4 linked regions of the Mytilus edulis genome follow. The protein of the gene in region 4 purifies or fractionates together with the protein of the main gene of each other region. This does not show direct contact. Links are inferred from orthologs where the notes say so. Each region holds a gene or a part of one and is shown on either strand. Other genes may lie near its edges.

Region 1 (7,994 bases), on a different chromosome or scaffold from region 4:
CTCTTCAACAAAAGCAAAAACTGTACTGTTCATTCGTAGATTTCCGCAAAGCGTTTGACAAGCTGGACCGAAGAATACTTATGTATAAACTCCTTAAAAGTGGAATTAGCTCCAAATTTGTTACTATTGTGAAATCTGTCTATTCTTCTGTTAAAATGCGTGTTAGATCAGGTGGTATTTTATCCGATTCGTTCGATAATTTAATGGGGGTAAAACAAGGGGAGCCCTTGTCGCCTCTTTTGTTTTTATTCTTCATCAATGACTTGATTGAGGACATTCATATTGATATGCGGGATGATGTCGTTACTGTAAATAATATTCTTATATATCTTATTCTTTTTGCGGATGACACTGTTTTGTTTGGAAAATCACCAGAATTATTGCAAGAACTTTTAGATAAATTATTGAAATACTGTCATAAGTGGAACATTGAAGTTAATACTGAAAAAACAAAAGTTATAGTATTTAGAAATGGATGGCAACCAGTAAGTGCCAGATTCTTCTACGACAACAAAGAGTTAGAAATAGTAAATTCCTGTATATATCTTGGCATGATGCTTTATTTTAATGGAAAATTCGTACAGACTCAGAAACGTGTGTCCCAACAGGGATCACGAGCTTTATCGTCATTGTTAAACTCAGTGAAAGATTTGTACTTGTCAAAGAAGAAACAACTCGATCTATTTGACAGTATGGTGGCATCTGTTCTTAATTATGCTTCGGAAATATGGGGTTTCAATCGAGGTAAAGATGTTGAGATTATTCACAATCGTTTCTGTCGATATATTTTAAATGTTGGCAAATCTGTCCCAAATTGTTTTTTATATGGAGAATTGGGCCATTTTCCTATGTATATTATGAGAAAATTTAGAATTTTGAAATATTGGTTGAATATGTTAACTAACAAAACACCTATTGTTTATGATGTTTATAAATTGTTACTTGATGATGCCAATAATGGCAAAAAAAACTGGGCTTCTAATGTACGTGACTTACTATTTGATAGTGGTCTCAATTATATATGGTATCAACAATCAGAAATACATACTATTGGATTTTTTGATGTAATTAAGAATAGAATTAAAGATCAGTATATACAAAGCTGGTTATCAAATGTAGAAAAGAGCGAAAAACTTAGTATTTATAAGGATATAAAGTTAGAATTTAGGTTTGAACATTATTTAGATTTTTGTTATAATTCACACTTTTTAACTAAATTGCGAAGTGGTACATTCAAACTGAACATTGAAACAGGAAGATATACTGGCATGGCTAGAGAATTACGTTTATGTAAATGTTGTAATATGCAGTGTGTTGAAAACGAATATCACTTTTTATTAGTATGCCCTGCCTATAGATCAATTAGGCCTATATATTTGCCAAAATTCTATTGTTCTTGGCCAAACCTTACTAAATTACAGTATCTATTTAAATTAAAGTCTGTTTTACATATTAAAAGATTGTGTAACTACATTAAATCTGCTTGGTCAATCAGATCACATATTGTTACTTAATGTTATTTGCTTTCTTGTAATGATTTATATGTATTGATCTCTGCTGTTTATCATTTGTCATGTTGTAAATATGTTTTTCGTTGCTATAGCATATATATGCTTTTTGCAATAAAGTATTCATTCATTCATTCATAACTAGATACATTTTACATGTACATTCATTTATTTATTACTACAAAAAATTATTTTGAAGACTAATTCCAGCATACAAATGTATGTGTAATCAAATGTGATTGAGAATAAAAGGATGAATAAATAAGCATTCTGTGAGTATACATGTACACCTTATCACTATTTAATCCAATCTGGGAAAAGCAGTCATTTATACAACTTCCTCAATAAAGGTCATGATCATCAGTAGTGATCTAAGGGAGATAAAACTTTAGAAAGCGATCATTAAGAATTTTTGATAGAGTATGATCCACTTTTTTGAAATTAAAATTAAAGTAAAAAAATATTTTTGTTTGAAGTATTTACGGTAGTTTAAACAGGTCTCATTAAAAAGAAGCATGCATGGTGAATTGTTTAAACAGCGTCCCAGATAGCTTCAACTGGATGAAAAAGTTGTGTTATTTTAGAACTTATCTGGAATGGAATAAATAGTGATTAGGTTTATTGCATGGCAATACATGGTCCCCTACCAGTTAATAAATCATTTTATCATATATTAAGTACAAAATACAGCAATTTTGTATATCTAATAAAGGTTCTTTTTTTAAGTCTGTATCACCTACACTGTATCGCATACCCTGTATCACATAGCAAAACCTGTATCGCTTACCCTGTAACACATAGCAAAACCCGTATAGCATACCTGGCGTGACGTCATAAATCGAATGACGTCAACATTTGATCTATAACGTCCAGTTGCTGTTCCCGCTAAAACATGTCCCATTATTTCAACTAGTTTGATATAAATTAGTCATGTTGTTACCATAAACTAATTTGAAAAAACCTTAAATGTAAATTCCTTATAATGCTGGCTACGGCTCTTAGTGTTGTTTCTGGTGTTTCTTATTCTGCATTGACAATATAGTTAAAAAGTACAATATATCTAGTCAATAGGTGAACTGTTAAACTAGATAGAACCAGATAAAACAAATATTAAGTAAGGTAGTTTGTCCAATAGCCAGTGGTGAGAAAATATTAAAGAGCCCAAATAGAGTATTTTGGATTCATTGAACCATATAAAATTATGTTCAATATAGTAACATCATTATAGATCATTATAGTATAGGGTAAAAAAATTATAGATATAAACTAAGTACAAAGTTGGGAATAATATCAAATAGATAATATGTATATAAATGAACTTGTCCACAATAGCATGATCATTTCCTTAATTCTTTATCTTCCCGTATCTTTTAAAGTGTGAACATGAAGACATCAACCTATAATAGCTAGTAAATTACTTGTATTTTGTGTTGCAATATCATGCTGTCAAATGCAACTAGCCGGAAGTGATATTTTCGTCAATGTCTTCTAGACGTTTTTAAAAATTGTCCAGATATACCTAAATACAACCACGCGATCCCGTGTGAATATATAAATAAAAAAAAAATAGTTTAATGTCTCTTTGATATCTTTCGCCTTCCTTTGACATTAAATTCAAATAATGTTCGTCACAGAGCAAAAGAAGGAAAAATCATTTACGGTACCCATTGCTGAGCTCATATATACGTCTCTGATAATAGTAAACTTGGAATTGATAGTAAATAGCAAATACGTACACGCTATGAGTATAGCTATTTGCGGTGTATCTATGTTTTAAAATACAGAATAATGCGAAATATTGAAATTAATAGAAAACGAAAAAATAACAGATTTTTTACAAAAAAAAAGAGGGAGGGCAATTTTTTTTGTCCTTTCCCTAAGGACCTATATGGTCCAGTGCACAATTGAGAAGTTATTGAGTTTGGTGCTGAAGCTGTTAATGAAGATTTCTTGATCACAGAAGACCTTGCTGAAAATATACAAGAACTTGATTGTCTCCTTATTTTGTTTTGATCAATCAACATTGGTCTTAAAACGAAGTACTGTGACTCAAATCAGCATGGAGATCTGTCAGCAAACTGTTCAATTGGAAAAACTGGAGAATACAATGTACTTTTGCAAAATGTGTGGGAAGGATGCGACAGGTCAGTTAATTTGCAGCTCATGTCTAGAATGGTAACACTTGTTGAACGGCGATCAAAACTTAGAAACACACTCAAGTCAAAGAATTGGTTTTGTTAAAAATGTGAATGTTTGACTTAGTTTTATGCAAAATTTGAAGTTAAATTTTGAATTGTGGTTCATTGCATTTTGAATTGTGGTACATAACATTTTGAATTGTGGTTCATAACATTTTGAATTGTGGTACATTACATTTTCAATTTGAATAATTGCATTTTTGATTATGGTACATTACATTACATTTCGGTAAATAGATACGGGTTATGTTCTTCTCATATATGTTATGATGGTATGATACTAAACCCCTAACAGGAAGGATTGTGCCTGATGGGCATATGAGGAAATCATAATCTTTCAGTAAGTGTAATTGAAGTCTGGAGCTGGCATGTCAGTTAACTGCTAGTAGTCTGTTGTTATTTATGTATTATTGTCATTTTGTTTATTTTCTTTGGTTACATCTTCTGACATCAGACTCGAACTTCTCTTGAACTGAATTTTAATGTGCGTATTGTTATGCGTTTACTTTTCTACATTGGCTAGAGGTATAGGGGGAGGGTTGAGATCTCACAAACATGTTTAACCCCGCCGCATTTTTGCGCCTGTCCCAAGTCAGGAGCCTCTGGCCTTTGTTAGTCTTGTATTATTTTAATTTTAGTTTCTTGTGTACAATTTGGAAATTAGTATGGCGTTCATTATCACTGAACTAGTATATATTTGTTTAGGGGCCAGCTGAAGAACGCCTCCGGGTGCGGGAATTTCTCGCTACATTGAAGACCTATTGGTGACCTTCTGCTGTTGTGTTTTTTTTCTATGGTCGGGTTGTTGTCTCTTTGACACATTCCCCATTTCCATTCTCAATTTTACATTTTAAATTATGGTACATTACATTTTGAATAGATACATAACAAATGAATTTTAGTACATAACATGTTTAATAATTACATTTTGAATTGTTGAACTTTACATTTTGAATTGTTGAACATTACATTTTGAATTGTTGAACATTACATTTTGAATTGTTGAACATTACATTTTGAATTGTTGGACATTAGATTTTGAATTGTCGAACATTATATTTTGAATTGTTGAATTGTTGTACATTACATTTCTAGTTGTAATAAGTAAATTTAAAATTGTTGTACAATGTGCATTACTTTTTTGATAATTACATTTTGAAGGGTTGTGCATTGTACATGAGTAGATTATAGATGTAAAGTATGGCAATAGATACATAACAAATGAATTTTAGTACATAACATGTTTAATAATCACATTTTGAATTGTTGAACATTACATTTTGAATTGTTGAACATTACATTTTGAATTGTTGGACATTAGATTTTGAATTGTCGAACATTACATTTTGAATTGTTGAACATTACATTTTGAATTGTTGAATTGTTGTACATTACATTTCTAGTTGTCATAATTAAATTTAAAATTGTTGTACAATGTGCATTACTTTTTTGATAATTACATTTTGAAGGGTTGTGCATTGTACATGAGTAGATTATAGATGTAAAGTATGGCAATCTGAATTTCCGATTAAACAAAATAAGATCAACTCAAACATTTTGTGTTCAGTGCCTTTTGCAAAAAGCAATTCAGATTTTTTGATACTCAATCATCAAAATAATAACTGATCTTATTTCAGAAAGAAGCAACCCACACTTTATTTTTAAAAACTAGGACATATATATTGTTATACGTCTTTGTTAACACCAATTTTGATTAAAACAAAATGTTCTCTAAAACTGACACCATCAAAGTTCTTGATTTTTTATTGAATAATTTGTGCTACCTTTGAACAGAGACATATACTATGTAACATCGTATCATAAAAAGTAAAATCACAAAAATACTGAACTCCGAGGAAAATTCTAAAAGGAAAGTTCTAGTCAAATGGAAAAATCAAAAGCTCACACACATCAAATCAATGAATAACAACTGTCATATTCCTGACTTGGTACAGGCATTGTCCTTTGTAGAAAATGGTGGATTGAATTTGGTTTTTTTTTAGCTAGCGAAACCCCTCACTTGTATTGACAACGATGCTTGAACAAAACAAACAGACACAAAAGGTAAAAATGTAAACAAAAATGGTGAGCAGCAGTCAACATTGTGTTATCATCTTAATCACTATAAAACAAATAAAGTAATACAGGAGCTTAAAAGGGAGAACTAAACGAAAATAATGAAAAGAAGCTAGCGTGCCGCTATATAGACGATGTTTTTTCTCTGAAGAATTTGACATTTAGTGTTTGTACTTTTGGACGCATATATCAGTCCACCAATCTTTATAGAGAAATGATGATCATCACTAAAGGATATTAACAAAGATACAGAAAATCTCTTTCTTGACTTCAACATATACATAAATGACACGCCAGAAGGTATTCGCTCAAGTGTTAGTTAGACTCTTTGCAGATGATACCATAGTTTACCTGACCATTGCATCAGACGCAGACAGTGTGAACCTACAAGAGGACACAGGGCCGTAACTAACCTCTTTTAATAGTGAGGCAAAATATATTCGCCATGCCAAGAAATTGCCTCCGTTGAAATTTTGCAAACATCACATAGAGCAAATTACATGGATGATTATTATTAACCATTTGGTATATGGCCGTGTTCTAAGCGACATGTACATGCAGGTCATAAATTAATTTGTTGAATGAAATCCAATCTTTAACTACTAATAGGTGCCGCAGGAGGTCAACCGGAAATTTTAGCGAGGATTTCTTGGCATGTAACAGATAGAAAACTCAGGGTAAGAATTTATAGAGCAGACAAGGGGCAGTGGCAAATATTTCATGTATATTATGAACACAGAGAAGATTACTCTTTTCGGGCGTGGACTCCAAGCAGACAACATGCATGTTTTATAACGCAACTGTATATTTTCTTATTAAATGAAGAAAGTTGCCGGTCCAGTTCAAGGATAGATCGGTTAGAAAGCAAGGTTTTAATTTTAATTAGATTGGAAAGCTTAATGTGAGAGTTAAAATCGGAGAGGACGAAAAAAGGGGGGGGCGGGTTCTTTCACAGGGAATATTTTTATCTTAGGAACTCTACATTAGAATTTTTTTTTTAATTATTTATTTAAAAAAAAGAAAGGGAAAAACAATTGTAAGGCAAATTGTGAAGGTTCTTTCTTCCTTTCTCCCGTGGGGCTATCTCGCATATATCTGGTTTACCGTCAAACCGAGCGCATGCATGTCTTTTGGTTGTTTCTGTCACTAGGTGGCTGTATCATTGACGTTTATCCCATATTTTCATATTGAAGCACAATGCACACGTAAATATTGTTTTAGAACATGAATTTAAAGTTTCATGTCATGCATACTAAAGTAAAGAAAAGCAAAAAAGCAACTCAAAGAACTAAATAGAAAAAGACGAAATGATCTGATTTTCTGTACCTCAATTTTATTTAACTGAAACAAAAAAAAATGTCTTCACTGGGAACTCTCGAGCTGAAACCTACACTCTTCAGGTTAGCAGGGACAATACTCTGTCTTTACTTTTGTCATTTTTGCGCATTGGATCTTTAAAGACCCTGTCAGTGGTTCAAAGTATTGCTTATCAAAGACATGTCTACTGAGTTAACGAATGCTGCATTCGAATAGGGACAGCTCTATTCATTCTCAAAAATTTTGCAATCTTTTGACATAGAAAACACCCTTTTCTATTTAAAATAGATATTCTACATTATAAGGTGTCGACTTTAAGTTAGTAATGGAACTTGAATAACTTTGAAAAGTTTAATTTGAGATAAAACTTAAACAAAAGGTTGCCACATATGTAATATGATGGACACACCAACCTTTAATGACAGTACCCTTTTATGTTCCCTTATCCTTGGAAATCTTAAAAATCTTCAATATCTTCTTATTAATTATTGGTTTCCCCTTAAACATCTGACATTAATTTTAAACAGTTCTGCTTTAAAATTCATTATTTAAAATTATTAAAGGTTACGCTTTTTCATGTCCAGCGGCACATATTACAGTGTTATCCGGATTCATCGTTATACGATGCGGGAAAAATTGCTATTGTCAAGTTCAATTTCAAATAAATAGATTCGTGTTTCAACAAAACTATGATCTGATGTACAATGATTGGTGTATTCATTGTTGGTCTTTAATGACACTTTTATCATTATCTGCTATTTCATGGCGCCCAGCTGTTTTGAGTGTAGAAAGCTGAGACGCCCGGAGAGAACCACTGACTTTCGGCAGGGAAACTGTCAATCCTAGTCACTTAAGATTGGAGTCGAACCAAGCTACCACGTGTAGGGTTCGAACT
Region 2 (7,301 bases), about 1.9 Mb from region 4:
TATTGGCAGTAATGAATAGGTTTGGGAGTATTTTGGTGTTGTAATAATTGACTTCCAATACCCTAAATTGAGCGTTCATTGGCAAATTCACAGCATATTCACAGTCGGTTTATTAAGTGAAATAAATCCAGGAAAATTGGTCTTCCTTCTAGTTGGGATAATAACATATCATTTTGTTTCTGGTGAATAATGTCTTTACCAATAATATCAGTATCATTTGGTTTGTAATTTAGTGAATAATGTCTACAACAATAATATCAGTATTATTTGTAAACAAAGAAAATCGTGGAGAAAATACTTTAAACAAACTCTTTTTGAAGGAAAATACACACAAACTTAACAAAAAAAAACCGTCTTTTTAAAAACTATGAACCCGGTTCAATCCACCATATTCTACATAAGAAAATGTCTATACCAAGTCAGGAATATGACAGTTGCTATCCATTCGTTTGATGTGTTTGAGCTTTTGATTTTGCGATTTCATTAAGGACTTTTTTATTTATCGTTTTCTCAATATGTCTTATCCAAATAAAATACCGAATAAAAACTTGCCAAGAGTAAAGCTCACGGATGTTTAAATCACAAGTTTACCCTGAGATTAGTACTCCAAAAATAGAGACTTGTTTCGCTTGTTATCGTCATATTTTGTTTTCATGCTTGTTTTTCTAAATGGAATGCTTGACTTCTGTATTGGTTCTTAAAATGATGATTTCATTTATGACAAACAGTCTGTTTAAGTTGGATTTTATGTTTCTGACTTTTCTGCAGATACGATTTTTTCCTCCCGAACGATGCCTCTCATTGCTTGTTTTATTTGAAGCGATATTTTTTCTTCCTCCAGTTAATGTTTGTCCCATTGTTTGGAGTCATTTGTTCCTGGATCAGACTTGAATCCTACCACTCTAGAGATAAATGATTATACTTTGTGATGAAACCGTTTGGTGTATTATACCTCGGGTGAATGTTTTTTAATCTACGATGGTTTTATCGCAGTTTGGGTTTTTTTTATGTCTAAACTGGTTTGTTAAGGATTAAGGATTTTCGTATGTAAACCACGATTGTTTTATGATGTTTATTCGGTTGTATCAAATCACAAATAAGCAGGATATCTAGTAAACCAATGTAATGTCCCATTTTCATTATTTTGTGTGGTGTCAAAATTAATATAATATCACACTGAAGTAGAAGAAGCACCTTACCTCAGATTGTTTGGTGGTTATGATATTAATGAATTTTATTTCATCTGCTGAATGCACTTTAATCAATCATGATTTTAGATATATATTTAGGTAAAATTAAGATAAAATAAAAACCAAAAAATAAAGATGAAAAAAAAAATGAAAAATGAAAAACAAACACCTAACAACTAATAAGACAAATGGCAATTCGATGGTTTAACATTTTAACTATGCAAACACATTCAATTGTCAAGACATGGTTTTCGGCATACCGCGAAATATGTACAATGAAAATAATATTTTCATTAGCAATGCTTACCCCCAAACATTTGAAAGTCAAGGATATACTACCGATACACGCACACAATCATAGTTTACCTTGAGTATGTTAAGATAAAGTGTCAAGTTGAAGTTGACGATTTTGATTTGTAAAAATATGTTGCAGTTATTGTTCTCATGGACATGTTCGTTTATGTTCAAAATGTTATTGCCTTTCCTAAATCACTTTTGACAGAATAAGCAAGAAACCGTTCAATGCATTAGTATATTCTTTTTATAACTTAAAACGGTAGAAAAGGTTTTTGTTCATATGCATAACACATAAAATAAATGAATCTAAAACAGGGAAAGAAATGAAGGACACAATGTGAAACAGAAGAAACCAGATTACAATCTTCTTCGTTGAATGAGATATTTAGAAACTTAAAACATAATGGTCTTGCGCGAACCTGGTGAAAATTATTCCAACAAACACGTGTTATGTGCATAAAAATCAGCATCATACCTTTACTTTAACAATTGATGGATAATTAACAAATTGATATGGTGTATTCACAACTTAAGAATGTATCTGGTTTTTTTTAACTATTAAATATTTGTACACAATGTCACTTTCACAAAGTATGCCGATTCATTAATAAGTTTACTGTTTTCATTTTCCCTTTCTTTTAATTATAAATATTATTTCAGCTAGAAAACAGTTTATAACATTAAAAACATATTTTACAATTATTCTTAACATTTACTGAATATTTAATTTGAATATTTATTTTGAGTTATATTGAACATTCTATAATGGAAAATGATTTTGTGTATAGTTAAATATTGCCGGAGAAATTTTATAAATAGGAAAGATCATAGATGTGAAGAATAATGAAATCCTATTTTCATAATGATTGTGATGAATGTTAATGACATTGAATTATATCCTACTCAGCAAGGTACTAGCAATCAGTAAATTCACATTGAAGGATATGTTTCAGTTTATTTCACACATTTTTGATTATTTTAAAATAGAACCATGTAATACTCTACTATTTCATCTTCTGAATACACTTATAATTTTGTTTTTTATCATTAATTACCTGTACAATATATACCAGTCACATAAACAATTGTGGCAACATAAAATATGTATTTCTAATGTTTAGAAAATCAGAATTAAAAATACAGATTTATTTAAAATAAAATAAAAGATTTACCTCAAATATACATTAAAAAAAAGTAAAAAAGATATTTTACGTGTGAAATTTACTAATTTACTAATGTGAAATAAACAAGTAGTAACCATCAAGCTGTTATAAAAAGTAAAAAAAATAGTAGTTATAATAATAATGACAATAATTATAATAATAATAATAAAAAAGATAATAATAATTATAATAATGATAAAAATTATACATTGAGAATAAAGAAAAAAATCATTATTCTAATTATTATATCAATAAGATAATTTCTGAAAATGTTTCTTACCTTAGAATCTGTTTATTAGGTAATTGTGTCCGATTAATAATCCTCAGGATATCTGCAGTATAATCTTCTAGTAATGAAATACGTCAACTTATCAATAACTGATTCAAACTTTGAAAAACAAGGGCCTTACATCTCCATCTTAGAAGAGCTTCTTTTTGATTGGCTGTTTACATCTATGCACGTGGGGAAGATCCAGACGACAAATCTCTGGCAAGAAAATCTGGTATTGAAGAAAAATATGCTTAAATCACTAATTAAACATTACGGTTTAGAACAGATATGATCTACATGCTTCAGTTGAAGCAAGGTAGCAGTTTCTTGAATTTTGATCTTAATTTTAAAACGTATAAATAACTTCTGATATTTTGCAAATGTTATCAAATGTTATCAAATCTCTTCATACCATTACTGTGAAGCAGTGTCCCATTATAACTGCATTTCTCTTTTTCAGTTGAATCGAAGCTTTTGTTTTTATTTTACTTAAACAGAATAGCCTGTCATTTTGATTTTGTTCGTTTTTATATTTATTTAACTTTATTTTTTAACATTATTAGAGTGTAATTGTCACGTTTCAAAATATCTGAATAGATAAATAAAATGTAAAATTTTAACTATTCCTCCCTTTTTAAATGCGTTTTACGCCTTTTTTGCCGAATTATATGAATTATAATACTAACAGACAATTGTCTTTTTACTCTGTTTTAAATTCGTATTACCTTTTTAAACATATTTTTTTCTACAAAGAAAAGAGAATAAATAAAAAGGTATTAAAACCTCACAATTAATGCACACATTTTGCATTGTCTATTGTCAATATGAGAATGCATTCAATTTTATCGGACAACAGTTGCAAATACAATCATCATTTTCTGTAATGATAATCAATAAACAACAAAATGAAGCGTGACAAGTGGGATAATATAGTAATATTTAGAAGTTTGACAGATTTGTCTTAACCATTTAAAGGTAAGATGACAGGGTTTCTTCCAGAAAACTACTTTTAATCATACGTTTTACTATGAATACAGACAATATTATCTGATAAGAGAATAAGAAAAAAAATGTAAAAAAGTATAATTTTTAAGCATATGAATAATAATGTTCTTAATGAACGTGTGTTGCATCAAATAAATCTTGCCAAAACCATGGAGGAGTGTTACTCAAACTGCCACGAGTCAGAATTATATTTTACGCCTTAATTCATTGAGGCTGCAATAAAAACAACACAATTTAAAATTGAATTATAAGATATTTAAAAAAATAGGAAAATCATCTACATATTTCTAAATCTTTTTATTATAAATATTAATATACCATTTTACAACAACTCAGTTTGATTGAAGATTTAAGTTTCAAGTTTTACGTTCTTAAAGATTTTAACTGGGCAATACGATGGGTAGCAAATATGAAGCAGGATCTGATTACTCTAACGGAGCACGTGAGATCACCCGTATTTAGGTTGGGTAATAACAAGACTTCAGTTTTTTTATTGAGTGTTATGTAGACTGTTATATGTATTTTCATCGTTTTTTTATTTTTAAGCCATGGTTATGTCTTTCTTCAAATCATGAGCTTCACAAGACAAAAATATCAAATCATACTATAAAATACTACGAAATGTTGATTATTTATAAAAAAAAAATGTGCATTTAAAGAATGGATTAACTTTGCTAAGATAGGTATAATATCACGAGGCTGATCAATATTCGTTCAAGCCACTGCTGGCGGAGATTTATTTCCCCGAGGGTATCACAAGCCCAGTTGTGCTGACATCAATTATCATTGATATTGTTATATTTATAAATTAACTGTTTACAAAATTTTGAATTTTTTGAAATACTAAGGCTTTTCTTCCTCAGGTATATATTACCTTAGTCGTATTTGGCAACACTTTTAGGAATTTTGGATCTCAATGCTCTTCAACTTCGTACTTTATTTGGCTTTTTTACGTTTTTGGATTCAAGCGTCACTGATAAGTCTTTTGTAGACGAAACGCGCGTCTGGCGTATATATAAACAATATAAAATTTAGTCCTGGTATCTATGATGAATTTATGAGTTTACTTTTAGCTTTCATTAAAAAATATATTAAAAATTCTATTCTTGACAATAAACATTAACATCACTCCGATCATGTAAAGTCTCTAATTTGGAGTGTATTTTTTTAAATTTACGATCATCATGCACTGATACTTATGTCATTATTTGACTTTCATTTAAGCACACGTAACATTGACGAAGACAAGTAAAAGTTACTTTGTAAATGATCGTCTGCTAATTTCAATACCATTTAATTTTATCTGTAACTTCAGTGATGTTGTAAGTTTGTATATACAACTGAATTTAAACTCGACAAAAACTTCAATCATGTCTTTTGATGTACGATTAGTTTTGCTGTCGGGTGCCCCAAGTTTTTCATTAATCCGCCCTGAAGTCGCATTGGCACTCGACATCAACACAATCATTTATTAGCCATAACTACATTGAAACTTTTAAACAGTGGAATTTGTACGAATAAAATTGTTTTCTTTTCGTGATTTTAGTTTCAAAGTTAACAAGAAAATTAAATGTGTACAATAGAGTTGATGTTAGTTTGATATAGTCCGTTTGATTTCTATAAATCTTCAGAAAATGAATCTTAAAAGTTCATTTTTACAAATAAATATTTTTTTTCTTCATGTATGTTAATGTATGATATATACGAACTCTGACTATGAATAACATAATTTTGAACCAAAAATCAAAAAAGTTACTCATTAGGTCTCTATGTTACTTCTATTGTTTTTAATATTAAATACTCAATGGAGTAAGTATGAGTAGTGTAACAGCCTTCCATTCAAAACAAAAACATAAGACATGTGCTTTAAACCTGTTTCATTGTACCATGTGACTTTACTCATTTGAATATTAAAGGCACTATACATGTTATGAAAAATGACCATCATCTAAGTTTTTTTTATGATTTTATAAATGAACTTACATTTATCTACAAAGATGTTATTAGTGGAAAAAATGTTATAAACATATGTTGTATTTTTTTTCCTTTCTAAACTTTTATTGTAACCTTAATTTGATTATAAATTTATACCTTCTGAAAGAAATTAAGCAAGCTTTTCATGCTTTAAGCATGGTGACAGTAGTAACAAAATGGAGAGGCTCTAAAAAGTTTTACTAATAATTATTTACAGAATATATCTGATATTTACCTTTTTCTTGAAAAAAAAACCAGCTAAATTATGACTTTCAAAAATGAAAATAAAATTAGATAACATATAACCCAAAATACCTTTATTATTTAAAGAGGCCTTTTTTAATATTGTTTTTAAATTATGCATTTTCTCCCTTACTTATGAATATAAAAGAAAGGAATTAACATGCCTCCAAAAATTTCTAAAGAAAAAAAGGATATAATTCTGAAAGTGTTCAACTATTTTCTTGCCGAGTCAAAGCGGGGAGCTCCATTTCATGCATGGCATAATACCACAAAAAGAACTGCCCACTGTTTGAAAGTTAGTGAAAGCTTTATAAAAAAAATGCTTGGTTCAGAAGAAATCTTGAAGTCAAAAAGTGTGTCAACTAAAAAGGACAAAATTGATCAGTTTGACAAAGATCTGATAAAAACTACTGTGCATAATTTATTTAGGAAAAATCAATGTGTGACATTAAAAAAATTAAAACAACTTTTGGAAAAAAATCATGAAATTAGTTTATCAAAATACAAGTTATGGAAAACTCTGCATGAGTAAGGCTTTAGATATAAGAGAGTGGATAAAAACAGAAAAGGTTTAGTTGAAAGAAAGGACAGTGTTAACCAACGCATACAATATCTTAGGACAATTAGGAAAAAGCGTGAAGAAGGTTATACTGTTATTTATTTGGATGAAACTTGGGTTGATACCAACCATACAACTTCCCATCAATGGACTAGTTCAGAAGATGCAAAAAACAGAAAAATACCCCTAGGTAAAGGTCAAAGATTCGTTGTTTTGCATGCTGGGTGTGAAAAGGGTTTTTTAAAGGGATGTGATTTAGTTTTTAAGGGTATCAGTACGGACGGACGAGATTACCATACGGAGATGAACAGCAAAATTTTTGAACAATGGATAGAAAAACAATTAGTTCCAGCTTTGCCAAAACAAAGTCTAATAGTAATGGACAATGCGTCATATCATAGTGTGCGTGTCGAGGGTACAAAACCTCCCACATCTAATTCCAGAAAAGGTGACATGATTGACTTTTTAAATAAACTTGGTGTTGAATTTGACATGAAAAAAACCAAACCCAAGATATATGAAATTATTAAATCCAAAAAAATTGACCCTGTATACAAGGTTGATGAATTTTTGAAAAAGAAAGGACATGAAGTTCTAAG
Region 3 (7,717 bases), on a different chromosome or scaffold from region 4:
TAGATTTCCCTTTTGACTTTGTCAGTAGGGTGCTTAAAATATACAGATGTGGCAGGGTACTTACACATCTCTCAAGATAAAACAGTATTTTTTTTTTTAAATTATCTGAAATGAAAAAAAAAATAAAAATAGTCCTCGCCCCACATTTTTTTCACCTCCACCCCTTTAAAATTTGTTTAAATGAAATGATAGGACCGCAGTGGTTGAACCCTAAACAGTTGGTGCAAGTTTGAACACAATATTCAAGCTGGATACTGTTTGAATTTGTATTGAAATTTTGTTTTTACATAATATAGGTTTCTGACACCAAAAAAATGTGGTCAATGATCTTACAAATCTTCTTTCTTGTTGAAACTTTTCAAAAATTTGAAATATTTGGGGAAAAAATATGAACCCCTGGTCCTCAATTTTTTTTAGAGAGATCCATGCACATAAACACAAATTATAGTCTGGAAACTAGAAAAGTTGCTTGGTTTTTGCCCCTTTTTGGTCCCAATTTCCTGAACTATACGGACAATTACCCCCAAAACTCAATCACAGCCTTCCCTTTGTAATATGCAACCGTGTGGTACAATTTCAGAAAGATCCATCAATAACTAACAAGTTGATTTGCTTGGGGTCGTAGACAAAGTCTGAAAGGAAATATTTTACATAGGAAAATGTTGGCGCCAGAAATTTCGCCTGCAGCTGTATTTCGTCACAAGATGAAAAAAAACATCGCATATTACAACATTGGCAATGCACAGCGCGGTCACTGCACATAATTTGTACTTTTTTTTAATTGTCCATTACCCAGGAAACTTTTGTTTCCCCCCCTTAGACAATCCTAACCATCCCTGTGTGGTATGGAAACTTGTACATGCGGTGTAATTTTAGAGAATTCATACACTGCTCCACAAGTTATTGTCTGGAAACTAGGAAAAAGCTTATTTGGGCCCCTTTTTTCCTAAACAGTTAGGACCACAACTCCCAAAATCAATCCCAACCTTACTTTTGTGGTCATAAACCTTGTGTTTAATTTTCATAGATTTCTACATGTATGTTATTTTTTAGAAATAGAAATTTTATGAGTGTATAGGACTTCTGTTGTAATCTGTGGTAGGCAATGTTTACAAGTCCTTCTGGGTTTTTTTTCAGCCTGGAGTGACAGGACTAGTGATCCTGTCAAATCCTGAATGTGCAGTTTCAATTAATGCCCGTCATCAAAAACAGTTTAATTTGCGATCAGTCTATTTTTGTATCTCAGATAAAGGAAATGTCTGTACACATGTACAACAAACAGAACAAAATTTGTTTATTATCTTTTATTGAGAGCATAACAAAATAACATAAAACATCAGATATGGAACTTTTTATTAAAAATCAATAATGTGCATGTGGATCAAATCTTTTCATCTCCTGCAGAGATTCCTCTTCTTTTGACCTTGTTTGACCTGTGAATTTTAATGATGACTTCTAGACTAGGTATACGTACAAAAATGTATCATAACCTTGATAGAGCTATGGACTCATCCCATAAACCCTAATATACATACATGTTTTAATCAAGGAAAATGGATATTGTTTTGTATGCAAGATGAAAATACTGTAAACCAACTGATTTAATTGAATGATTAATTTCCCCCAGACTTTGGCAAGCAGAAAATATATGAACTTGGAAACTCACTAACATGATAATCATGGTTCTTTTTTACTGAAAAAAAATCTTATTATAATGATTACCTGTTACATGTGAATACTAGGGCTTGGACACAAAATAAAGCTGGTAATCTTTCTTTAATAACATAAAAATATCATTTCAGTGTACCAGAATTCTGACCAATATTTTAATATGAAATAGTGCTGCTGGTCATGACACATAAAATATTGTATTCCACAACAATTTAAGAATGGGGCAACCAAAATTAATACACTGCACTGGAATTACAAAAGTTCCTAATTTTTTTTAATTACACAATAGATAAATTGCTTCGCTGAGCGCAGCTGGATTCCATGGATGAGGTCCAACCCTGAACAGTTGGGGCAAAAATTACCACAATATAAGCACTTGATACAGGTCTAAATTTGGATTGTAATTAAATATTTTACACATAATACAAAATGTAGGTTTTAACACAGAATGACTGTAGTCAAAGAACTACATTTGAATTAATATTATTATTTTTGCTTTTGAGTAATTCATTTAATATGCTGTTACAAATAGACAATTTTCACAATCTACAAGCAATATCAGGGAGGTAATCTAAAAAATACACAGCATAGTGCTTTAATGAGATTGGATTACCTCCCTTAAACTGCTTTAAAATTGTCAATAGTGATCATTAGTCCATTAATCATCACACCCTTGTTTTCCCCCTTTTTTGCCCCCAATTCCTAAATAGTTTATGCCATAACCTCCCAATATTATTATCAATCCTACCCATCCCTTTGTGGTTTGGATACTTGTGGTATAATTGCACAAAGATCCATACACTTTAACACAAGTTACATGGGAATTGTCTGGAAACTACTAAAATGCTTATTTGGGTCCCTTTTTTGGCCCCCAATTCCTAAACTGTTTAGATCATACCCCGAAAATCATCCCAACCTTCCTTTGCGGTAATGAACATTGTGTATAAATTTCGTGGATTTCTATTTACTAATACTTATTGTCCAGAAACCCAACTGTCTTCAGACAACCACAAAATGATATCAATATATGACCGCAATTTCTTTTTGCAGTCGTATAAAAATAACTGATGCCACAATGAAAAAGTGATTGAAGTATCATGACACACACTGGCCTTTAAGTTCAGTGTTTGCATGGTGACTGTATTGTTAGTGTTACAGTTAGGGAGTTACATTATTCTGAGTATTGCATATCTCAAGTTTGTTCCAATTTGCAGCCTGTCATTTTGTAGGATACAATATTCTGGATGATTTTTAACTGCTCTATACAAAATACAGTTGTCTGCAATGAATGTGTTTTGATGTTACTTTTGCAGTTACATTTACAGGGGCTTGTACATGTTTAGTGGGTCAGACAAGGTTTTCCTGTCAATGGTGGCGGTACCTCAAATGACAGAATAACACTTGAAATTTTATATAAGCACATACCTATTGGTGACTTTTAAACATTGATTATGTAATAATATTATATTATCAGTGTATTTTATAACTTAAAATGATATGTAGAAAGCAGGTACGTTCATAAAGATCATTATAAATTTAGTGTGTACATCCAATAATAGTGACCAAGGCAAACACAATGGCTGCCATGTTGGATGCATGTACACACTATATTTAAAAACATCTTTATGAACTAACCTGCTTACTGTTAAATTATTGTTAAATAATCTGTTTTTTATAAGTCACCGATATGTTCTTATATATAAGTGTTATACGGTTATTACAAATGTTATTCGAATTATAGCGGTGTTATATTTTAGTCATTTAGGTTACCCGAATCATCGGGCAAATGGGGTGTAGAATCCTATTTAGGCTTTTATACACAGTGGAGAAGACTTCATTATGGGTGGAGTTCTTGTAGAGCGGTCTTAAATGCCCCTACAGAACCTGCATGCACAACTTTATCTGGTAGTTGGTTCCAAAGACATATTCAAAACAGGTGACAATCATATATATGATCTACTCAGATCTGTCTTAACCTAATACACCTCATCACTAATCCTGGCTGACCTGGCCGCTTGAACTTTTGATGCAAACAACAATCACTTTTCCATTGTGGCGTCAGATATTTTGTTTTATGACGTCAACATTTTACTGGAACTTGTGTGATATCCAGTAATGGCGGACAAATAGCGATTATCTGGAATAAAACAAGATCCTAACCAACTTGAACCATAACTTCAGGTCAGAAAGACAGGATGCTCATGTGAAACCCAACTCTGAACTACCATCAACGACTTCCTACAAGTACGTACACGACAAGGGACATCAAATCGACGTAGGCATCCATTAGGATTTCTCAAAAGCTTTTGATACAGTACCACACAACAAATTATTCCATAGGTTAGATCAATATGGAATCAATTTCAAAGGAAACACACACAAAATTATGGTTTATGAACTTCCTGCCAGATTAAAATGCGAACCATCGAGGAAGGCGAATCATCAGACGAAAAAACAATTGACTCTGATGTCCCTCAGGGCACCGTTTTATGACCAATCCTGTTCCTGTGCTACATATATGACCTCCCAGACAGCGTAACATCATCAGTAAGACAATTGTACAAAATTAATGTATTCAACTTTCGTTTCCTCAAATTATGCCCTTCTCGCGATCGGTCAACTATGTATTATAAGGAAGATCATCTTTATTTTGCAGTATACTGAATTTTCTAATGCAAAATATCTGACGTTATATTTAAATATAGGACTATACCATACCTCAGTATCGATGGTTGTTTAATTTGAGCTAGTGCGGTGTTCTTTGCAGCAAAGATCGATTCTTGGAAAAATGGCGATAGCGTGGGACTGAAGAATTTACCCGAATCGTCTCGGAAGTTTACATAGAGTTATGTAAAAAGCCTAGAAATATCCGAAGGGCGAATTATGGCGTTACCTCATTCATTCCAATATTTATAAAAAATACCATATTTAATTCTAGTTACAAACACATAATATTAACTTAAATAAAACTAGAAAAAAATGTATTATATGTCATAAAATTAAAAAAAATATATATGACAGAATATGGTAAAGAAATATTTCGGAACACCTCTTGAGTTTTCTTTCTAAAAAAATATGCAACAGAGCAGACTTGCATTTTTATTCAAAACTGACAAAAAGAAGACATTCCTATGCTGTTTTATTATCTTTTGCACCCTTCTTATGTGTAGGTTTTATTTTATGTAAGACTGACGAGTTAAGGATTATTCTATAATGACATATTTGTACAAGCATTCAAGCATTGATCAGTTATATCAAAAACAAAATTTCATGATGGCATAAATTATTTTTGCTGTAAATATAAAACAACATGACAAAATAAATCCTTTATTTTGATTGAACAGGAAACAGAAGAGCACCCTTCCATGTATTCTCTAAGAATTTGTAATTATAATAATTAAAAAATAATAATGGAGCCACCATTGGTCTTGATTTTTATTTAGGAGGGGGGAGGGTAGGATAAAAAAATGGCATCAGGTTCGTTTGCGCCCAATACACTTCCGCACCCTACACATTCGAACCTTGCAAGTTCGCACCCTACACGTTTGCACCCGATTTTAAATCAAATTCCAGTTGAATAATTAGAAAATTTTGATTGCTGTTTTAAATTGCTTTGATGTAAGTACATACATGACATAACTTGGTATAAGTAAAACATTGGACATTTTTAAATGAAAAAGACAAAAGATAATTGTTTTAACAGCTTGGATCCTTTGATCTGAAGCAATGAAACAAAAGTTATAGCAATACACTAACCAAAACATAATTAAAATTTATTCAACACAACAACAAAAGTTGTCAGAATCTCACTTCATTTTGAAGCAACGAAATAAAGTTATAGTAATACACTAACCAAAACATAATTAAAATTTATTCAACACAACAAAAAAGGTTGTCAGAATCTCACTTCATAATCATTTTGAAACAATGAAATAAAGTTATAGCAATACACTAACCAAAACTGGCATGATTAAGATTTATTCAACACAGAAAAAAACATCGTCTCGTCACTCATGAACTTTATTTTGAGACAATGACAACAAATATACTTACAGGAATACACTTTGTGTTTAACAATGTTGTCAAAACTTGATTACAATGTTGTTAAACACAAAACCAATAACAATTGGGTGAGAACGTGAAAGGGGGTGAACTTGAATGGGCGCGAACAGACCCGGAGTCAAAAAAAATATTGTCCTGTTTTTTTTTTATTTAAGTGTAACTTGGTCCTGCATTTTTATTTTTCACTCTATTGGGTCCTGACTATTTTTTACATTTATAAATTATGAATTGTCATCATGTCTTTTATGTTAAACTTTTAATTGAACTTAAAACTCCTGTCCTGTCTATTTTTTTTTCTTCAAATTTCATCCTAGACTCCTCCCCCTAAAAAATCAAAAGGTAGCTCCCTGATAATATTTTTTCTTATAGTTGTGGTCTGTTTATACATGTATAGATCTATTTCTTGCATTAAAAGATAATTCTTGTATCACACTCAGTCACTGCAGTGTACAGGGTATAAAAAAGAATATTTTTACTTGCCCTAACCTTACCTACCCAGAAAATAGCTGCCTACTCAAAATCTTTTATTGTCCTGCTGTGATTATTTTTTAATCAGATAGACATTAAGACTAAAAAACATCTAACACTTCAATTTCTCTTTGCCTTAAAATAAAAAAAGAAAAATGCCTACCTACCTAGCCCACTGTGTGTACCTTTGGATATGGTTTGGGCAAACCAATATATTTTTCAATTCTGGCCCAGAGAGTAAATTTTACGTTAAAAAGTCAAACGAAAATCTGCTTTAGTTTGATTGGCTTGTCAAGTATCACAAGATGATATAATACTTGTACAGCATTTCCTAGTCTATTGGCGATTCGTTGGGTCACTGATGACTTTCAAAGGTTAAGAAGATAAACATTTCATCCATGGCAACATACATCTATGTGACTTCTTCAATAATAAATTAAATACTCACACATTTCACCTGACAATTTTCTTTTTGTCATATTTTATTACATTCTGAAGCGAACATAAAGTCTTAAAATGTTGGATGTTAAATTATCTCCTCTGATACTCTCTGAATAACTATATACAAATAAATTCAGTCTTTTATGCAAAACAAATCATGAAAAACATACAGTTTTGTTTCATGAACATATTTTGTTCATGTTGTTAATCATACAAGACCAATATAGGGATTTTAGAATGAACTAGCTATACATGTATGCATAATATATAATTCACAGAGTAACCATGTAAACTCAAACTTCATATAGGCATGATAGATAAAAGCGTAATTGTTCAGGTCATAAAAAAGAAAGTAAAGAAGAGTAGCATGATTTTACCACTGTTTTTTTGGTGTAAACTAAAACTTCAAATGGAATAGGATCTTTAAAACATCTGTTTTAGGTATACAGATTAACACATTTGTCATAATTTGAGAAGATTATTCTGCATACAATGGGTTACACATTTTTGCTGTTATCTAGTATAAATAAAAAATATCCTTTAACCTAAGTCTTTGTTATATTTAGCAGCATTTCAATGAGTGCAACTTGCCTGACAGGAAATACCCACAAAAGTACTAATATACAAGTTTTAGCTTTCTTAAAAGCTGTGGACTGCTTCGCTCTATCCTAATTTTATGTAATTTGTGTGCATGTGGTATTTTTAGATAGTTGATTGATATAAATTAGATTTACTTTAAGAGTGTGCGTTATGAGTGTGCCTCTCTGGAGGGGTGTCTAGATTAGGAGAAGTTATAAAATACAGATTATGCTTTTTTGAAAACGTTGTATAGGAACATTGTTTACCAAAACAAATCGTGCATATTGCAGATTGACAAAGCAAATAAACATGTATTGATAATTGTTATTTCAATATTGAATTTCAGTGTGCAATACATGTATATGCATAGTAAAATGAACATGAATTAATGACAGATGATCGGAACTGATATACTCTTAGTTAGTTTTCAGGCTTTAAATGACTTATCCTGAATGAGAAAAGTCTGTAATTCTTTATCTCATTTAAACCAATGGCT
Region 4 (6,987 bases):
GTATACAAGCTGAAGCCCCGCCTATCTTAATTGCCATGCTTGAGCAAACATTGATACAAACAAAGCAAGCAAGCCAAACAAAGATTTGTCTTGCTAGCATTAATGTAAAAGCTGTAAATATATTTTATCTGGGAACAGCTAGTATATATATATTTATATGTTCCTTCCTGATTTTATTTCAAACAATAAAATCTATAAATGAATTGAACATAGTTTAAAATGGTTTTACAGTTACTGAATTAAGAGATAACTGTATTGTATTTGAAGCTTTAAGGACGTCCATCGGTAGTTTTACTGTCGCAAATTTAGTTTACCTGGTCCCTACACTAGGTGACGTCATAGGTATGCTTCCGGCGTCAAACATAAACACCGGGCGTCTTCTGGCTTCTGTGCCGCTTCAGAATGTAATAAAATTTGATAAAAAGAAGATTTTTAGGCGCAACAAGTGAGTTTTTTGTTTATTATTGTAGAAATAACATGTCAATACATTCCGAAATTCAAAATGTCGGCTTCCTTAGTTACAGACAAGGAGATAGAGAATTTTACGCTTGCTGTTATCCAATCAGAACAATTGTTGCAAAATAATTGCATTAGAATAATTAATGACACGTTTCAAACGAATGTAGGACAGAAAGTCACAGGACAAAAAGTCACAGACAAAAAGTCACAGGACAAAAAGTCACAATTCATTTTTTCTGATTATTTTCTTTGAATAAAAAACCCTTATTTCTACAAAAATATTTTTGTATTTTTCTTGAACTATTGTATATAAACCAACTTTGTAAACAAAATTTATCAAAAAAATATTTAAGATGATCAAATAATTATTAAAAAAACATAGTGTCAAAGTTGCTTTGCACTTAAATGGCTTCATGGTGCCAAGAAATATATCTTTTGCATGATTAAAATTAAATAAATCTTCATTTTTCAAGTATAATGACACATTTCCTCAACTTTAGTATGAATATATGTATTAAAAAGTAAATATTTCAAGATATTCTCTTATACAGTTGGAAAGCAGGTCACGGTTTGACCCCAAGTTTATCAGCAACAATAGAGTCACGTGACCGTGAAAATTCAGTAAAAAAACGGTTGAGACAAACCTCATTTTAACTCACTAAATACTATTGTCGTAATAAAAACTTATTGACCTAACTAATCTTGAGTATCCATAGTTTATTCTCGTCAAAGCTCACACATCAAATCAAAGTCCTTTATTCTTTATTTTATCTGCAAACTTGGAGTTTGGGTGAAAATTGTCAAGTCTCCTGAACGAAAAATCTAAATATTTACGAGGAAACTAAAAATGATGGGCTGAATTTAAATTTAATAAAGCATCTCATTAAGACAAACACTCGATATGAATATCTCGGCAATAGAATGTTGGATACGCAAACGTCAAATTGATTTCAAACCGAAGCGGTGGTTTTTATGCCGATTTGTGCAAGTGGTTATCTCCCCTTAATATCACCAGTCAAAAATAAAAACCCATCAAAATGCATAAAAAATAAAAAAAAAAGTTTACTTTACAAAAATTAGAAAGAAAATAAACTAAACTCGATTTATAACTATGTTATGATAATATAAAGAAGAGATACTTCCCCCTATTTTTCAGAGAAGGACTAATTAAATGTAAAATTTATATTAAATTTATATTAAAAGGCAAAATATTACTGCAGTAAAAAAAATAACAATTCAGAAATGTGGATAATGACACCTACATGTAAAATTAAAAACCTAGCTATACTGAAAGAAATTAGATCTGGCGGATGAAAATATATACTTCATGATGCAGAATTTTTTGATTATATTTAATGCAATAAAACATAGTTTATACAATTTCAATAATCTTTGTGAAAATTGATATAATTATCAAATAAATAGTATTGATCATATATATTTTATATTCTATAAAGTGTGACCAAGAGTCTCAACAAATTTCTTCAAATTAAGAGAGCCTTTAAACTCAAGCCTATGTTTCTTAGTTGAACAATAAAATACAAAAAAGGGATTTATAAGTTTCATACCAAAAATATTGACAGAAGTTCTGTAAAAAAAATATATGCTTTAAATTATACAGTAAGTGAAAGTGACACAATTTTGAATTTCAGAATCATTATTATTGTAAAATTAAACTATTAGATTAGCTTGCACAGTAGCCCTTTGTCTTATTTCTCAGGGTATTTTATAGATTATGAAAGTAAACTTTTTGGAAAAAATGGGGCTTCTTCTCTTGAACAGGTTGCTGTATCAGCTTCTTTAAATAATTACATATTTATAAACAAAGTATTGTATATATACTTTACCTGAATACTAGTAATAGGAAATGAAATGAAACTGGTGGGACAGATTTTGTGCATTTTACTTCAATAATGATCAAAGATGCTTAAATTTGACAAGAATTTGCCATTTGAATAAATTCAATTTTGTAACAACACATCTCTATGAATAAACTTCTTGTTTGGCTGACTTGGCTTGATAAGCTAGTTTTTGCTCTTATTACTATAAAATTGAGAATGGAAATATAGCTTACTAAGTAAAGAGATAATAATATAAGCAAGATTTTATTAACTGACCTTCATTTTCTTTTTTCATATGTTTTTTTCCCACAAAATTTTCTTTGCAATGCATTTTCTATTGCTATTTTTGTGCTTTTGTCCATCCATAGAGTAGGCTATCAATAATTTGTCAGATCTGTCAGAATTTTCCAAGACGTTTAGCTTTAAACGCAATAAAGAAGATCTTTGTTTGTTGTTTCACTTTTCCAATGTGTAAATTTTTACTATGCACATGACCCTGACACATATTTTGTTATAAACGTTATGTGACGTATGTTGAAAAAAGAAAACAATGTCACCGTCAATTTATGTAGGGGATCAAAAGGGGTTTTAGTTACTTTAAAATACAAGTATCGTATGGAATTGTGAAAATCCACAACTTTTAATCAAAATTTCATTCATGTCTTTAATAAAATCAGTATTTTAGAGCACTTTGAAACAGGTACAATGAAAAGAAGCTAAACTTTACTGTTTTGAAGTAGAAACGTAGCTAAAACCAGATAAAAATTGACATGGCTGGTGGTCACTAAAATTGATGTATAAAAGTAAAAAATGATGGCTTCAAAACAGTGTATAAATTTGAAATAGGTTTCCCGGTTTCATTTAAGATTATAACCGTTCTTTTCTGTATTTGGATATGCAAACGTCAAATTAGGAAAAATCATTTTTTTTTGGCGAACAAAAAGATGGCTAATTTTTTTTAGAACTGACAGGATAAAGGAATAGCAATAACAAGCTATTTTTTGTAATGTTTGTATGTCGTAAAGAAATTATATTGGTCACAAAACCTACAAATTTTAAAATTTAATTGTAATAAAAGCATGACAAGTTGCAAAAAATACTTTAAACGTCAATCTTTTAGCCGATTGATTTGGCGGACTTTTTGACGTTACGGACGACTGTAGCGCCACCTAATTAATTCCCCCTGCTATTGTTGCTGATAGAGCTTGACGACAACGGCCGTATCGAAGGACTTGCTTTCCAACTGATATAGGCCTATTTAAACAATTGTCAACAAATTATTTGTGACTTTTTGTCCTGTGACTTTTTGTCCTATCAAATTTGTGACTTTATGTCCTGTGACTTTTTGTCCTGTGACTTTCTGTCCGTTTACCGTTTCAAACATGCACTGTGAAACACAATTAAACTTATTAAGACCTGTGCTCCAGTTTCCACTTTTGACAGATTCATATTTCCCACATGTCGCTACAATCAATAACAAAAAGTGTTAACTGCAGTGTTTCTGTATTCGCTTTGATGATACTTTAATAGAATATCTTATTCAAAATATTTAAAAGTAATGATTATTGACAAAAAATATCCGTTCAGTGCTGCTTTTCGTAATATTTTTTGGGGATGTAAGGACTTCGGAATTTGGGATTCACCGACATGCGCACAAAATCAAAACAGTCTGTTAATTTCCGTTTGATGTTCCTTTGATGTTTTTGGCGATACACATTTTGTACTATGCTTGTCCAATGTTTAATGCAAAGATTAGGAAACAAAAATGAATGCAGCATTTGATTTTATATTTTGGCATGTGACATTTTGATTCCTCAATAATGGCTGGAAGAACTCAGCAGCAAGCTGATCGTACAAGACGAAAAAGAAGTCGAACTCTGCCACCCGTGTATACCGGAATAAGTGGGTCATTTGAGGACAAAGACAATGATTTTGTTTGGTAAGACAGTGATCGCATTTATTATTTGCTCTGCATTGTTTCTTTATCGACAGCTTATTTTTTTCGCCGCGTGTTCAAAAGTTATAATGTACAGCGGAGAAATTATGGATTTGTCGTCTGCACTCCCACGCATTTTCAAATAGAAATCACCAATGCAGCAATTTGACTTTATGCAATGTATCATCTTTTTTGAATCTATCTGTCATGTTGAAATTTTAAATACAACTGGCAATACAATACAAAAATGATAGCCTGACATGTTATGAATTCCAAAATTTTGCAAATCACTTAAAAGTGGACTGCTGATCTTTGGAACAGTTAACATGTTTTAACATTACACCATGTACAACATGTACAATGACATCTTTAATTTCCAATTTTGAGTCCCTGTTGGACATATAGTAAAATAATATTAAAGAATGGAACAAAGGCAAAAAGATAATATATATATTATAAACCAAAAATATATATTTTTAATCATTAACAATATTGTTAAACCAGGCATGCGCCGGAAAGTAATCATCAACCAGTTGATGTTTTTCTGTATATAAAGAAGAAGTATATAAAATGAAAAAGTAGCAATACTGTATATATCAAAGGAATTGAAAGTCATCTGATGCCACCAAATTGAATGTCACAAAATTTGCATATTGAAGCTTCAATATTCCAGTATCATTAAGTGATTACAGGAAATATTATTTTTTTCCAATGCATTATTTGGATTGTAATGTTTTTCTTTTAAGTCTTATTTCTTGTGTTGTACTAACACCTTACATGCCTTAAGCATGATATAAAGAATGATAAGCAAAAGGCTTTCCAGGCATTCAGTAACAAAACTTATAGTAATTGTTGCCCTTTACTAACATTTTGTATGACAAGAATAGTTTTTAGATAATACACTTGTAAATACTTATTTTCTTTGTGAAAGGTTGGCTCACAACAATATGTTCAGTCAAATAAATCTTATCATGTTGAAGCATTTAAAATCTTCATCACAAAACAACTAAATTCAAACATAATGGAGGAGAGGTTAGGGCCTGTATGCACATCAAAGGCATGGCAGGATTATCAGGTTGTTGACTGGTCATTATCTTATATTGTTATCAGTGGCGGATGCAGAAATTTTCATAAGTGGGGCCCACTGACTGCCTAAGTGGGGGTCCGCTTCGGTCAAGCTTCAGTGATTTCCTTTATAATCAACCAATTTTTTTCCAGAAAAGGAGGGCCTGGGCAAGGGATTATTGTACCTGTGAAAGGGGAAAAATAAGTCTAAGTTGTTTCCTTGCAATAATTGAAAACAGTTTGATAAATGCTTTTTAAACTACTAGTACTGGTACATGTACATTGTATCTTTGATAGGATGACGGTCAAGGGTATCAGGTCCGTTCGCGCCCAATATAGTTTCGCACCCCACACGTTCGCACCTCACATTTTCGCCCCCCACGTCCGTTCGCACCCTACATGTTCGCGCCCAATTTTTAATAAAATTTAAGTGAAATTGTTCGAAATTATTCATATGAATATAATTTGAGAATTTATTGAATAATTTTTTTTTTTTATCGATCTGATGATTAATTATTAAATGTTGATTATGTATGATTATTGCTAATTGGTATTTATAAACAGCCCAATTTGGTGTTATTGTTTACTGTTGTTTATAAAAAATCATGATTGTTGTTTTAAATTGCTTTGATGTAAATACTAATAAAATAAATATTAATCATAGCAATACACTTACCATGCATACCAGTTGTTCAACATGTTGTCAGATTCGCACTTAATTGACTAGAAACAGTGAAAAACAAATTATTTCAATACACTAACCAAAACACGATTAAGTATTATTCAATACACAAATGAAATAGTTGTTGCCAGAATAACATAATCAGACTTAAAAACAAGGACTTTTTTTTTATAAACTTGTCATGACACAAAAAAACTTGTCAGTATCTCGAATTATTTAGAAACAATGGCATATATATTTATACCAATACACTTCCAAAAAATCGGTAAAATTGGGTGCGAACGTGTGGGGTGCGAACGAACTTTTCGCAAAATTTGGGTGCGAACATGTGGGGTGCGAAAGTGAATGGGGGCGAATGTGGAAGGGTGCGAACGTGATTGGGCGCGAACAGACCCGGATTCAGGGTCAAGTTTGATATTTATGATTTTCTCTTGTGCTGTACGTACTGAAGTAATTATATACATGTATATGGTCCTTAATTCAATGATTGTTTGTCAATAACTTGAGAATGGTTCAACCAATGCTTACCAAAATTTAAAATGTTTTTTATTAATACACAATGTTTGATACTTGGTTGGTCGTTGATTGGTTGGGAAATGTCACTTTTTGTTTAATTTTATGCAATAAATTGCGAATGTTTGATCCATCATCTTTGTCAAATTTCAATATAGTGTTTCTTTTATTAACATAATGGAGATCAGGATTTATTTTGAAATTTTTTACTATTCAGTATTGCAGTTTATGATCAGGAGTTATTGCTCCTTATAACCATTCTAAATTTCAATATGTTATTTCTTTTAACAGAATTCAGATTCAAATTTATTTAGAAATTTTTCACTATTCAATATTGCAGTTCATGATCATGAGTTATTTCTCCTTCATTGTGTCCTTATAGCCATGTTAACCATTTAATTTTAATGCAGTTAAAAAATGGAAAAATGTAAGAAAAACCCTGTTTGCTGTTATTTGTATCAAACTGGTGAAAATAATTGTCTAAAAGTTAT

What was found.
Region 1: the proteins of E3 ubiquitin-protein ligase COP1-like (region 4) and serine/threonine-protein kinase 40-like purify together in Homo sapiens (affinity purification with mass spectrometry; 3 studies listed by BioGRID and IntAct, counting the BioPlex papers as one, with this or other methods). This does not show direct contact. The link is inferred for Mytilus edulis from reciprocal best matches to the Homo sapiens genes COP1 and STK40.
Region 2: the proteins of E3 ubiquitin-protein ligase COP1-like (region 4) and ETS translocation variant 1-like purify together in Homo sapiens (affinity purification with mass spectrometry; 4 studies listed by BioGRID and IntAct, counting the BioPlex papers as one, with this or other methods). This does not show direct contact. The link is inferred for Mytilus edulis from reciprocal best matches to the Homo sapiens genes COP1 and ETV1.
Region 3: the proteins of E3 ubiquitin-protein ligase COP1-like (region 4) and DET1 homolog purify together in Homo sapiens (affinity purification with western blotting; 11 studies listed by BioGRID and IntAct, counting the BioPlex papers as one, with this or other methods). This does not show direct contact. The link is inferred for Mytilus edulis from reciprocal best matches to the Homo sapiens genes COP1 and DET1.

What each region holds. Positions count from the first base shown.
Region 1 is NC_092353.1:43,069,621-43,077,614, reverse strand, and holds the start of serine/threonine-protein kinase 40-like, read right to left. Parts: upstream 3,011-7,994; 5' UTR 2,927-3,010; intron 1-2,926. UniProt on the Homo sapiens protein: May be a negative regulator of NF-kappa-B and p53-mediated gene transcription.
Region 2 is NC_092345.1:6,349,675-6,356,975, forward strand, and holds the start of ETS translocation variant 1-like, read right to left. Parts: upstream 3,018-7,301; 5' UTR 2,931-3,017; intron 1-2,930. UniProt on the Homo sapiens protein: Transcriptional activator that binds to DNA sequences containing the consensus pentanucleotide 5'-CGGA[AT]-3'. Required for olfactory dopaminergic neuron differentiation; may directly activate expression of tyrosine hydroxylase (TH).
Region 3 is NC_092347.1:48,045,428-48,053,144, reverse strand, and holds the start of DET1 homolog, read left to right. Parts: upstream 1-4,716; 5' UTR 4,717-4,837; exon of another isoform or gene 4,838-4,853; intron 4,854-7,717. UniProt on the Homo sapiens protein: Component of the E3 ubiquitin ligase DCX DET1-COP1 complex, which is required for ubiquitination and subsequent degradation of target proteins. The complex is involved in JUN ubiquitination and degradation.
Region 4 is NC_092345.1:8,285,223-8,292,209, reverse strand, and holds the start of E3 ubiquitin-protein ligase COP1-like, read left to right. Parts: upstream 1-3,971; 5' UTR 3,972-4,120; coding exon 4,121-4,239; intron 4,240-6,987. Other genes in the region: DNA repair protein XRCC2-like, read right to left, coding at 3,717-3,749. UniProt on the Homo sapiens protein: E3 ubiquitin-protein ligase that mediates ubiquitination and subsequent proteasomal degradation of target proteins.